Caenorhabditis elegans: one gene and its partner. The protein of the gene in region 2 interacts with the protein of the main gene of each other region in a biochemical or structural test. Each region holds a gene or a part of one and is shown on either strand. Other genes may lie near its edges.

Region 1 (7,021 bases), on a different chromosome or scaffold from region 2:
AAAATAATTTTTAAAAAATCTGTTATATTTTTTTCTGAAAGAATTGAAATTCACATATTTTGTTTGGATTTAAAGTTGCGTTTTTACAGCCAATAATGGTACGGTAGGAGCAATACAGTACGTTTTTTTAAAATAAGTATTTTTCGTGAAGATAAATTTCTCGGATAAAAATGAAAGAAATTTAAAATTTTTAGTAAATTAGTAGATAATTGTTTTCATGATATTTGATCTCTCAAAGGAAATTCCCGGAAAATGATACTCTGCGTTTAAATTGTTGTTTTTGTATTTATATTTTTTTGAATTTGTTTAGTAATGCAAAAAACTTATTTTTGTTTTTGTTACATCTGCCGGGTTCCTCTATTTAGCTGTTTGGTGATCTGATGAATACCGGAACTCGGTTAGTGTCGAGTGCTGCTAAAATTGTGATTCAGGACTCTTATCACCCCTACATTTTCGTAGACACAGAAATATTTGCCTCTTGCTCGGTGTGCATTTTCAAGACGTTTCCCTGTTGTATAATCCCATTTTTCTTTGCGTGCATCTTTATTAGGTGACGCTATTTTGACACAAAAAAAAACAAGAAAAGAAAACAAAGAAAATACAAAAAAGGCAATTAGATTTTTGTGGGGTTGCTGTCTTAGGAGGAGAAAAAGCGGAGCGAACTGGACCCGGATTAATCGCACGTTTCGTTATGCAAAAAATGAACAGAAAATAAAGATAATGGAATTTTTCGAGAGACGGGCAAGATGAACACAGGGGAGTAACGTATAGAATTTACAGCATCTCGCGGGTAGTACTCGTCGAGCCATTAGAAAGAGTTGCCTGCACATCTGTCCGAATGAGTAGAGGTCGGGAGGAGGTCGTGTAGCTGGATCCCTCGCAATCCAGAACCACCTGCTTTTTTCGAACCCTGCAAAATACAATTTTCAAAGATATGAAGGTATTTAGTGAAGCGGCGGACACCCCCCCCCCCCCGGGTTTGCTGTAGGATTAGCAAAACCCAGAAAATGTCGGTTGCGGCGGAAGTAGACTATGTGGTTCATGCAAATCGAGTCTCGAAATTACGCTCAACTAACTGATATCATGGCGCACTAATTTGTTCGGTAGAGCGCACTTGCATTATCGGATTGAAAAAAGCGCATTTAAACGGGAAAATCAACATTTTTTCTGTTTGTTAGCTATAAATTTGTATGGCTCGCTTTTCTCTGTTATTTAGAGCATTTAATAAATTCAAAAACTCAAAACTTGCAAATTTAACGGCGATTGGTCCAGCCTCTGCCAACTAGAATTAAACCCGAAAAAATTTCCAAAAAATTTCCAAAGTCCACGAGTAGTACACGACCCATGACGGCACTGCGCGGCAGACGCGCCCCATCGCAAAGAGGAGATGTGTACCCCATATCAAGCTTGAACAACGTACAAAAGACCAGGAAACAGAATTTTTTCGAGAAAAGTCAAGCAGTTAGAGGATTAGAGAGTTTTTTAAAAGTTAGAAGAGAACCTGTACCTGTCAATATTGTTTCTCCGAAACGTTGACCGCCGAATCGAGTTACTCACTCTACTGGCAAACGAGGACACAATCTGAAAACAAAAGGCGGCTCAGAGGAAGAGAGGGGGGACACAAAGGAAGCAGTGGAAAACGGGAAGAACACCAGGAGCACACGGCTAGGAGCAAACTTTATACAAGGGGACTTGAAGAAGTTTACAATACTCACCTCTGTTGAGTTGAGTATTTTTGACAGTCCGGAACGTTTTTGTTTTCGTGTCAGCCAAAAGAATAGCAGAGGGTTCCAGACGACTAAGGACATGGCTATGACGTGAGCATTTATTGCCCAGAAGAACGGCTGACGTTTTAGCCATTCGGGCTCTTTTTCTGAAAATTTTGGTTTCAATGTGTAGTGATTTTGAACATAAGTTTCGAAAACTACGGCAAATATTTTTTCGAACATTTTAATCGCTCACACTAGGAATTACAGCAGGAATTCTACATAGACCTACCACAGGCAGAAGCTTTTTATGTAGGCTTCCTTTTCGTAACATTACACCGACTTGGATTGAGCAGCATAAATTTTCACCAAATTATAAACTAACCACATTTTGCTCATTTTTACAAACTATACATTTTGACCTTTTTCAATTTAAGAGCCCATGTTACGACTAATTGAACGTGCTGTGCTGAGAAGAGATTTCGTTTTTCAGACCAAAAATGGCCCAAAATTACCAAATTTTGTAGTGAGGCGTTTTGAAAATTTCTCAAAAAAAAAGTTTGGGCGATTATTTTTGGAAAAAATGGCTCATTTTCAGCGAAGGTGTAAATTTTTACCAATTTTTACAAATTTCGGAATTTTTGAGACATTTCGAGTTGAGCTAAACAACTTTTCAAACTTTTTTTAAAAATTTATATATAATTTTTGGTCATTTTAGTAATAGTTTTCAGTCATTTGGGCCGTATTCAACCTTTAATAAGTTAATTTTAATATAAGACAGTCAAAAACAAAATTGAGCAGAAAATGTTGTCAATTATAGTTAGCGTTTTCAAAACAGTTGACTACGATTTTTTTTTCCAAAAAACAAATAAAAACTCACTAAAATCTTTGACCAAATTGAGTAATGTTAAAGGCAACCAACACCCGATAAATGTGACAACCATTGCAATTAGAATATAATTCACTTTCTTCTTTCGTGACGTCGCATCACTTCTCTGCTTTTGTGTCAGTGATTGACAGAATTGAGCATTTTGGATGATCATGTCTTTTGACACTTTTTGCAAGATTTTGAAGTAGCAATACGTGATCACTGCCATCGGCACGACGAACTGCAAATTTGGACGTATGTAGGAAAATTTCAAAAGTTTTAAAAATTTAGGTTTGCAAAATTTTTATGGTTGTTAGGTCAGCGTGTTTTTGCTCACCTGTAACAACATAACCGTAGTTCCGTAAATCTTTCGACTATTTTCGCTCTGCCAATTCGCCTCGTCGCAAAAGTGCCCGCAGTATGGAGTTTCTCCGGGCTGAACGTAAAAGCTTCCATCGACGTGCTCGAAAGACATAAGATACGGTAGATTTATCAGTGTTGAGACTATCCAGATAAGAAATGTTATTGCCAACGCTTGACGAATCTGGAAAGAAAATGAAATTCGAAAATGGTTTTTTTTTTTAATTTTAAAAATGAGTTTTAACCGGAAAAATTTAAAACTATCCAGAATTTCCTAGATTTTTTGGACAAATCCAAAAACTTCAAGATTAGAAAATTTAAACAAAAACCTCTTGGACATTCCTGAAATGTTAACAGCCTTCCAAAAAATTTAAGAAGCTTCAAGAAATTTCTAAAACATTCAAAAAAATTACAGAACCTGTCAGAAAATTCTAAAACCTTGTAGAAAATTATAAAACATCCCAGAAAACTCAAGGAATTTCTAGAAAATTATGGGAATCTCAAAAAAAAATTTAATGTCCAGAAATTTTTAAAGCGTTGCAGAAAACTCAAAAAATTCTGAAAGCTTCCCGATAATTCTAAAACAATAAAAAATGTATAACCTTTCCAAAAAAAAAGTCTGAAGTAGTACAGAAATTTCTAGAACACTTCAGAAAAAATTCTCGAGTCTTCCAGAAAGATTTGAAAACTTGCAGAAAATTCAAGGAATTTTAGAAAAATTCAATAATATCCAAAAAAAATTTAAAAACTACAATAAAATTCCAGAACTATCCAGAAATTTCTAGCTCATTTCAGAATATTCATGAAGCTTCAGAAATATCTAGCACATTTCGAAAAAAACTTACAGAAACTGGTTGTTTGGTGGGATCGTTGATATGCAGAAATTTATCTAAGGAGATTGCAGTGAGGCTCCAACTCGTCACAAACACCGAACACGAATTTGACAAAGGAACTAAATGGCACATCACTGACCCGAATGCCCAGTCTTTGGTCATCGCGTACCTGGAAAATGGGAATTTTTTGAAAGAAAAAATTCATAACATATTCTACAGGAGATATTCACCTAAAAAAACTTGCTCAAAAATTTTAACAATTTTTTTTGAAAATTACTCAATTTTCATTGCAGTAAAAGTTTAGGTTATAAAAATTAAACAATTTCCCTCAAAATTTTCACAAAAATCCATACCATGGTGTGACTGGAATCGCTGTGAACACCAATATCAAATCGGTGAAGATCAAGTTGAGCAGAAATACGTTGCGAGCCGATTGGAGCCGCTTGTTTCTCGCCACCGCCCATAGTACGCCGCCGTTTCCAAAAATGCCTAATACAAACAGGAACCCGTAGAGGAATGTGAAGATTGATCGGATGTAAAAGTCTCTGCAAAAATTTGATTTTTTGAGTGTAGGGGAGGAGAGGGTAGGACTTTGAGTATGGCCGGCACGTGAGACAAAAAAATGACGTCATACAAACCGTAAGGTGTCGGGTGCTACACGTGGCAGAAAAAGTTACGCCAATCATGCCCGCGAGGTGTCTACCGCTACTTGTCAAAGGAAGTGACCACACAGTGCGGCAGACATCTCTCGGTCATGTTCCACGTCACTTTCTTACAGCTTTAGTGTGACAGAGGAGGGACGTCGTTCATTACAGTAATATGTCGGCTGCTAAATCTAGAAGAGCAACGACGTTAGACATACCCTTGAAATGTCGGCTGCTAAGTTATCTAAGGTATTCAAACTTTCTCTTTTTGTTTCCCTGCGATCGCCAGTTTAATGTCCCCATTTAATTTTCATGGATGCTTCCAGCTCAAGAACATTTGAAAAAAATGTCAAGAGCACACAGCTGTCGGATGTCACAACAACTGTATCATCTATCTCTCTCCACCCTAGTTCTCAACAACTTTTCTCACACTGATAATGATAACAAAAATTTGCCAATTGATTTTTCTCCAAGGAAAATGAGAAAGAGAGCACTTTTCCATGTCACTCGTCAGCCACATGTCAAAAGTTGAAATGTTTGAGGACAAGTCTCTCGAGCGGTTTTGGGTGAAAAAGATGAGATCGTTGAACTATGACGGAAATTGTGATTTTTGTGGTGAGAAAAGTTGACAGGTTTTTTTGGAAATTATAAGTTAGAAAATCCATCCAGGATACCCAAAACTTACACAGTAATATCATCGATGCCTTGTGCCGCAATCGCCTCAGCGATCTGAATGCACGAGCCATTGTTCGAATGACTTGTGATAACGTTGCTGATGGTGGAGGGAGTCGTTGTGGTTGAAATGGTCGAAATGGTGGCCGCCGAACTAACCATGCATCGAAGGTTCTGGAATTGAAAATTTGATATTAAAGAGAGAATCTTTCAGAGGGGTAATATAATCGATAAAAGGATTTGAAAAAAAAAATTCAAAAAAGTCAAAATCACATAAAAACGTTTTGAAGAAAATTACATGCATAAAATCCATAAAATAAAAATATCGTTGAAAATTTTAGAGTTTTTAAATTTTTTAAATTCGAAAATCGAAAAATGTTTTTTTCTAAAATGGGAAAATCGAAAAGCGTGTTCTGGAAATTAATCATAAAATCCAATTTTCTATCAAATTTCAGTCGATGAAAAAAAAAAGGAAATTTCTTCTAAAAAAAAGAAAAATGGTAAAAATTTTGAGCTATTGTTCGGGAAGTAAAATTTTTATATTTTTAGATTCTTTTTTTTAGATTTTCAAAAAAAAAATCAAATTTTACATAAATTGTTATGTTAATGAAGTTAAATAAATCAATCTCGAAACCCGCTTTAAAATGTGCCAGGTAGTTCAAAAAACAAAGAATAATCTCCATAATTTTAGGACTAAACAAAAAACCTTTAAAAAATCAAAAAAATTATCTAAATGTCTCAGTCTTCCCAGTAAATCCTTGGTTTTTGACCTATGGGCTTCCAACAAAAAGTGTAAAAATAAATTATTATATGTACGTCACACAAAAAAAATTTGACAAAGATAACAAAGAGATTAAATAAAGAAAAGCTCTCCCTTGACCGATCACCAGTCCATTTTTGACCTATTAAAAAACATCAATTATTTAAAATTTAAGCTTGAAAAAAGTCACATGGCTCCTAGGAATAAAGCTAGCTTCTAACAATTCACCCAAAATTTGGAGGTATTCAGCGTGATAAGGTGGATAAAGTGTGACTAATGTTTGGTTCAATGGCAATTTGATGAATGAAATATGTAAAAGGGGGTCACAGGAAACTCGCATCATTATTATATGACTACCAATTTTTGACTACCAATTTTTCTTGGGCCTAACTTTTCAGGTAAGCATCAGGCAATTGGGCTTGCCTGAGGCGCCTTCCCTGCCTACCACAATTATAGGCTTTGTTTTAATAACAAATTTGTAAGTTTAAAGTAAAGTTCAAAAATGATAGTTTAGTTTTAAAACATTTTTTCGAATGCCAAAAAAATTCCAATTCCATTTAAGTGACGGGGTTTTTTCGAGGTATTTTTAGAACATTTACTAATGAAACAACAAAATTTTATAAAGTATTGGAGTCTAAAATTCTGCAAATGATATGATAAGATTATCAGAGCACACTTTTGGCTTTTAGAGCAAAAAAAGATGGAGAAGAAAGGAGAGAGAGAAATAAGGTTCAACAAGATTAGAGCAATTGGACGGAGATAGGGCGGAGATGCGATAATCTTTGACGTTTTTACGGCGAGTGGAGATGGAGAAGGAGGATTCTTAAAAACTGCGTGAGCCGGCAGTATGTCTAGTGAAATTTGAGAACACTACGAGAAGACTATCACCTGGTGTGGGAATTTGAAGGTAGGCAGGTAGTTTAGAAGGTTTTTATGGGTGAGCTCAATGGGGGGGGGGTGTTGAGTTTGAGGAGCAAGAATAACGATATAAGAAGAAGCAGTGAGATGGGAATTTTTTAGAAAAGTTTCAGGTAGACAGGCGCGTGTTTTAAATGTGCCTACCTACCAGTGTTGTGCGGTTAAAAAATTATATGAAAATTTTTACAGTGGTAAATTTCAACTTTTTGAATCCAAAAATTATGAAGAAATAAAAAATAATAATGATTTTTGCTTAAAAA
Region 2 (6,865 bases):
CTCGATTAGTTCAGAAAAAAAAGAGTTTCAGAAAATAAAACATCGACCATTTTCAATTTTCTGAGTTTCCAAAGTTCAATGATCAATAGTTCATTAGTTACAGACATGGGTGCGCGGTAATCGGAAATTTTGGTAATTGCCGAAATTGCCGATTTTCATTCAAGGATTAAATCATGCCGAGCTTGAAAAGAGAAAATTGTCCATTAAAATTCATGTTGAGTTTCGTAAATCTACAAAAAGTATCGAATTTATATTTCCGGCGATTCTGAATTTCAGCAATCGGCAATTTCGGCAATTGCTGGGTTTCAAAATCTCCGGCAATTGGCAACTTTGGCAATTGTCGGTTTTGTGAATTTTCGGCAATAAGCAATTGCCGTGCACCCTGTTTACAGAGTTAACACGATTTCAAAGTTAGAAATTTGCTGGTTGCCGACTACTCGAAATAAAGAATATCAAAACTTTCATCCATTTGACAGACATTTTCTGAAAATTGTTATAAGTTCATCGATAATGATATAATAATAATAATAATAATATAATTAACTTGAAAACATATTTTATTAACCAATCATCTTATTTATTTCATAGAAACACATGCAGCACAGTCAGGTGAGGGATGGAAAAACGGGGGAACGGAATCGGGGAGAAAAAAGTTGTTGGCAAGAAAATGACCGCTCTCCAAATTATTTACTGGTACCACGACGCGACGTCTTCAGCAGCAGGTGCCACGTGGAATGATGATCGCTTTCCAAAACGGAGAGGTCCAGATGGTCCACGTCGTTTTCCGAATCGAAGTGGTCCCTGGGGTCCGCCTTTCTTTACGTCTGAAAATTTAGCATAAAGTGGTCACCAAACATAAAAAAATTGGTAGGTTAAAAAGCAATCAAACCGTTTGAGATATAAAAAAGTTTTAACTGAAAATAGATAGAAAACTTATTTGTTATAAATGTTTTTAAAAGTATTAATTTTCAAAATGGTATTCTCACTTGAATTCAGCGATAAAATGTATTTCTGAACATTTTTTGAAATGCTGATATCTTTTTAGAAACTTAAGAGATCGAAAAGTTTTGAATAAACAAATGTTTTAAAACTTTGTGATTTTCATTTTTTAAGTTAACAATTCAAAAGCTTACAATTGGAAAAGTAGTCCAAATCAACAGCCACTGGGATTGTTCCGACCGAATTGTCGTCGTAATCTGCAATTTTAGAATGCTTGTTTTTTTTTTGAAATTTTGGTTCATTTGAAAGTCATAGTTTGAGCTTTTAATTACTACTTATTAGTTTTTAATTCCCATTGTTCCAATCTTGGAAATATCAAATTCCTTCTGAATCCTTTCAAGTTTATTTATAAAGTGACGTTTTTTTTTTCTCATTTTCCACTTTCTAAATATTTGTTTAAAATTCACAAAAATTCTCACATGAAACCCACTTCCGACACACGTACATATCATTTTTCCATAAATAATTCGAATGGACGCCGTGTGAAACTTTTGGCACAATTTTTTTGTTTTGTCTTCTGGTAATTTGAGATGCATTTTGTGCCAAAATTTTGAAATTTCTACACTCTGTTTAAAAATTTCAATTGAAAAAATGAAAATTTGCTGGAAAATCAATCAGACAATTTTTGACAAAAGCTTTGGTAAACTTTCGACAATTCCGGCAGTTTAGTAGTACTTTTTTGGGAAAGAATCTCAAAATTTTGAATGTTGCCCCGTTTGACCTCAGCACCCAAAAAAAGAAAAATCTCCCCCAACTTTTTTTTTCATAAAATATTCAATCTTTTATCACTCATCTCAAACATCTACCCCCTCATCTGCATAAACGTGATGCTCTCGAAAAAAAACGAAGAATTTGTCAAGTTTTCATTATCAAAGTGAGAGAAAAGAACAAAAGAATAAATTAGACAAGGAAGCTCGTTTTGTTTGACTAGCTGAGTTTTTGGAATTTTTAGGTAACGGGTTTGTGTGACGAACTTTTTTTTGAAAGTATAAATAATTCTTAACCAACTTCAATAGTTTATCAAACTATTGTCAACTGAAATTTTTTTGCAATTCTCTCTAATGTTTTCTCTCTAATTTTGTAGTCTGCTGCTATGCCTATTTTATCTTGCTTCGGTATAAATGTTTAACGGTGGAGTACCGAAATCCGAGACTTTGTTTTTTAGATCCAAAATGACCCAAAACTACCGAATTTCGTATGAAACGTTTTAAACATTTTTCAAAAAAGTTATAACGAGTTCAAAGTTCTGGAAAAAAGGCTCATTTTCTGCTAAAATCAAACATTTTTGCCATCTTCTCGCTGTCGCAGCGTCTGGAACTCAATTTTGGAATAAACAAATGACATATTAGTTTAAAATTAAAAAAAAATTAATTGCTACACTTGCAATTCTAAAAAAATTTGAACAATATAAAATCGTGTTGTTAATTAAATTTTCTTGGGAAAATTAATCGCATTTCAAAATACTGATAATATTGAAATCTGTGGTCTAAAAAACTAATTTTTGGTCAATCATCGACGTCTGATAATTTTAGTACCAAAAGGCAAAAATTTTGTCCAGTAACCTCAAATTGTGTCAAAAGAATTTCGTGATCAGTGAAAATAATTAACTTTTAAATGTTAACTTTTGAAATTAGCCGCTTGCGTTTTAAATTGTTAAAATTAAAATCCCCAGCCCATTTTCAAATACACAACCATCATCATTCCTAAAGGTTTCCAAAATAAAGCGAGCCCCATGTGTTGCTCATTGGTTTCAAACTTTCAAACTAATCGCCTGACGACCCCCAGTGGACGTGCACCGCCAATAAAACCTTACCAAAGTTAGACCCTGGAGTGTGGAAATGAATGAAAATCGATGCAAATGGCTCCTCTTTATGGTTGATACATGTGTACATATTATGACAAAACAAGAAGAAGAAGAAGACACTACTATGTAGACGGGCGTGGGTGGTGACAAATTTGGAAGTTTTAGTGGGAAGTTTTAATCCCTTACACCTTAGACTAGAGACATTTTGATTTTGAAATAGGAATTATAAAATTTTTATCTACGGTTCTTTGGCAACTTGTAAATCTCAAATAATTTGAATTTTGTCTTAAAAATAGTTGTTGCACGAAATTCGGCAATAATACTTTTCAAAATTACCGATATTCTATAAAAAATGAAAACAATTTTTGAAAAATTATAAGAATTTTGAAATTTGCCCAAACTCTTGATCAATCATCAAATCCTCACAAAAAAATTCGGCAGCTTTTAAAATAATGTCTTTAAAAATTTGGCAATTTTTGGAATATTCCTAAAACTCTTGACTAATTTTCGCTAGCTCTTCGGCTTTTCATGAACTTTTGGCAAATTTTTGAAACTTTTAAACAGTTTTTGATGTTTTTTTTTGCAAATTTCGACGCTTTTGGAAAAACTATCAGCTTCCGGCACTATTTCAAGCTGTCGAAAATGTTTTGCGACTTTCAAAATCAATTTCATCATCGTTTACAACCGATTTAAACATTTTAACGATCTTTTGCACTTTTCCACTTACAAATCTAAAAACTTCAGTTTTCTGACTTCTAAACCCTTACCTTTTCACTTCCGGAGCCCAGTGATCCGTAAAGTCAGAATTTTTCCAAAAATTTTACTACTAAACTACACAAGCGGAGGAGTAAGGGAGGGGATTGTTGAATGACAAATGGGAAAAGAACAAAGAAAGTGGAATTAGGAAATGACAAGAAATGATGGAGGAATGGATCAAAACTGACAGGGTTACGGTAGGGTGATGTCATCGAAATTTTGAAATTATATATTTATAATTTTAGAGCTGTCAAAAATTTGTTACCAGTTACAATGTAACTGGTAACAAATAACTTGTAAAAATGTTTTTTATTGCTTTATTAGACTCAAAATTGTCTGACAACACCCGAATTTCATAATGAAACTTCATGAAAACTTCTCAAAAAAATAGTTATACGGCTCAAAAAAGGGCCTAATATTAGTCAAAATTTGAAATTTGACGGAATTGTCAATGTCGCAGCGGCTGATAACATTGTTTTAAATCACCGCCAAATTTTGAGTATATGAGTATATGTAATTATTTTGCCTTTTCAACTCGATTTAGTTATTTTAAAGTCGATGGACCAAAAGATTTTAAACATTTTTACCAAATTTCTTCGTCTATTGGCTTACTAAATCGAGTTGATAACGCATGATAACTAAATTTTATACCCAAAATTTGACGGTAATTTCAAAACAGTTTTTAGACCATTTTTTGAGCCGTCATAACTTTTTTTTCGAGAAGTTTTTAAGAAGTCTGCGTTTTCAGACAATTTTGAGGGTAGTAAAGCAATTTTAAAAAATCTGGCAAGTTATAGTGAATTTTTTGGTCGATTTATTATCAATTTGTTTTAAATGTTTTTCTTGTTTTTGCTCCAGTCTCACCAAAGTAAAAACTTGACAGTTAATTTTTTTGTTATAATCCCCCGTTACATTTGGGTGTTGCTAAAAAATTTCCATACTTCTTTGATTTATTATCTACAATCTGACTGACTAAAGTTCAACTTGACTTAAATGGCGAGCTCTGTTTTGAGTAAACCGCCAATTTGCCTGTCAGAATGTCGAAATGATGTAAACTTTTGAAACTAAATATCAAGTTTGCTGGAAATCGGATCACGAGGATATGTATCATAAGTTTTTGAATTCGTCACTCGGAGAATACATTTTTTAAAACTTATTTATTCAGCCATTATGCTTCTCAAACCTGCAGTTATAACTAAAGCTGGTCAACTCACCCAAACATGTATAAAACTCCGTAAAAAACCTAATCTTTTTGATTTTTCGTATTGTATAGAATCCGTATCGTATTTTCAGTTTGCAAATCTAGCCAACAACTCTTACCTGCAAGTGTAGCAATTGCCAAAACCGCAAAAACTGCAACTCGAATAAGCGTGGAGAACTGCATGACGAGGTGTATGTGGGAGACCTTCTTCCAAAAAATGAGCCGAAAGCTCTTGCGAAAGCGCACACGAGCAGATAGGGCGGGATCTGAGCTCCGCCCTTTGCGCAGCTCTGTAGTTATTGATGAGCAGTCAGAAACTTGATATTTTTTGAAATGAAAATTTTGAAATTGGGGAAAAGGTACCACTTTTCAACAAAACCTGACACCACTTTTGAAGTTTGCTCCGAATTCAGGAGTTTGGCACATATATAAGTGACCAAAAAAGTTCAACGCTTAAAATACTATTCTATATATTTTTCAGATTAATTTTGCAGATAATATCAAAAAATTTGAAAAAAAATGGATTCCGGTGATACCAACTGACAATATAAAAATTTGAAGTAGCGGGGCAGACTGAATTCAGTAGATATGACACAAAATACTAAATTTTGCAAAGAACGAGTTTTGAGTGGTTATTTCAGCTTTAGGAACACTTCCTGTAAACTACTATTAATTTTTATTTGACTTATAACAACCGAGAAAGTGTTCAAAAATTGTCCGAATGTGGAAAACTGGCGTCAATTTTTCGGCAATTTTCAACATTCAGACGATTTTTGAAGATTTTTCCAATATTTTTTACTGAAATAACAGTTATTTTCAAGTAATGCAAATATTTTCTATATTGTACCATTAAATTTTAACGAATAATATCGGGGGAACATTCCCAACCGTCTCATTTTGTAGAATTCCCGCGCACCCCTGATTGGCACTCTAATTCACAACCCCTTTCTAACGAGAACTTCGAATTTAAAAAAACCCAACTATAGCCTTTGTTTTTAAAAAAAATTTATGTTCATAACTTTCAGATTATATTAAAAACGATAACTTCAAAGTTTCAGAACCATGAAACAGGCGTGACCTAGCGTACAGTACCCCTTATTGGACCGCCGCATCCCCAAAAACTTCAGAGCGGCAATAATTACACCTGGTAATTATTACACCAGTTGTTGTCACTTGAAAATGGTGTCGTGTTACTGTAGCCCCGTGTGTATCCATAATTCGGTCATATTTCAAACGAAACCGGCACAATATTGCAGAGAGACAATTGACTTTTATGTATGCAATTAACGGAACTAACAAAGTGGAAATGGTATTTCTGTAGTTTGTTGAGATGAGAAGTTGAGGGGAAAAACTTGGAACCTTTTTTTAAATACATTTTTAAGTATCAACTTAAATAAAATTGAGCAAAATTATATTTCGAAATTTGAAAGTTTTACAAAATTTTGATAATAACTCAATCCTCAATGGCTTTTTTTTTGAAACAGAATTGAGATATTGGCAGAATTCAAGACACCGTTTAAAATTTTCCGCGTTATATTGGATAGATTTTCGGAATTCAAGATTTCGGGAAAAAATTTAAAATTCTGCCCGCCGAATTAATTCAGCGAGTGTTTTTTTTCGGTGTTTAAAATTCCGTTTTCTTCATTTTTTTTTCAATGATATATTTTTATTGTAGTTTGAAAATTTTGATAATTGAAAAATATCCTAACCTAGTAACAAGTTGTAACAACAGACGCCTCGTAGGTTTCAAAATTAAACCTGCAATATAGGCGATTTTCAACATTCAGATTCAATATTCAACATTCAACAGCTTCCGTGATATTGCTATTTGAAAAATTATCAACTGGCAAAATGAAAAAGTATTTGTAAACCTATATAGCAACCGATGAAAATTACTAGCCAACATTGTTGTACATTTTAGTAGTCGAAAACTTTTCAAAACACTTCTGAAAAACGTTAGCCAACAGGTTTGGGAGCTATAACTTTTTACAGCGTCGATTTACAAAAAAGTTGTAAGCTAACATTTTGAGCCAGTTTTTTGCATTCAGTTAGTTATTGCAATATTTTTCAACTCACTTGTAAAAGAACTTATACCAGCCGACATC

What was found. The genes of interacting proteins can lie anywhere in the genome.
Region 1: of the proteins of flp-15 (region 2) and npr-5, one has a biochemical effect on the other in vitro, tested with the Caenorhabditis elegans proteins (one study listed by BioGRID).

What each region holds. Positions count from the first base shown.
Region 1 is NC_003283.11:276,460-283,480, forward strand, and holds npr-5 (G-protein coupled receptors family 1 profile domain-containing protein), read right to left. Parts: upstream 5,258-7,021; 5' UTR 5,246-5,257; coding exon 5,097-5,245; intron 4,313-5,096; coding exon 4,121-4,312; intron 3,937-4,120; coding exon 3,780-3,936; intron 3,119-3,779; coding exon 2,912-3,118; intron 2,816-2,911; coding exon 2,587-2,815; intron 1,874-2,586; coding exon 1,716-1,873; intron 1,582-1,715; coding exon 1,508-1,581; intron 911-1,507; coding exon 775-910; 3' UTR 527-774; downstream 1-526.
Region 2 is NC_003281.10:13,662,861-13,669,725, forward strand, and holds flp-15 (FMRF-Like Peptide), read right to left. Parts: upstream 4,980-6,865; 5' UTR 4,944-4,979; coding exon 4,880-4,943; intron 1,197-4,879; coding exon 1,134-1,196; intron 825-1,133; coding exon 688-824; 3' UTR 540-687; downstream 1-539.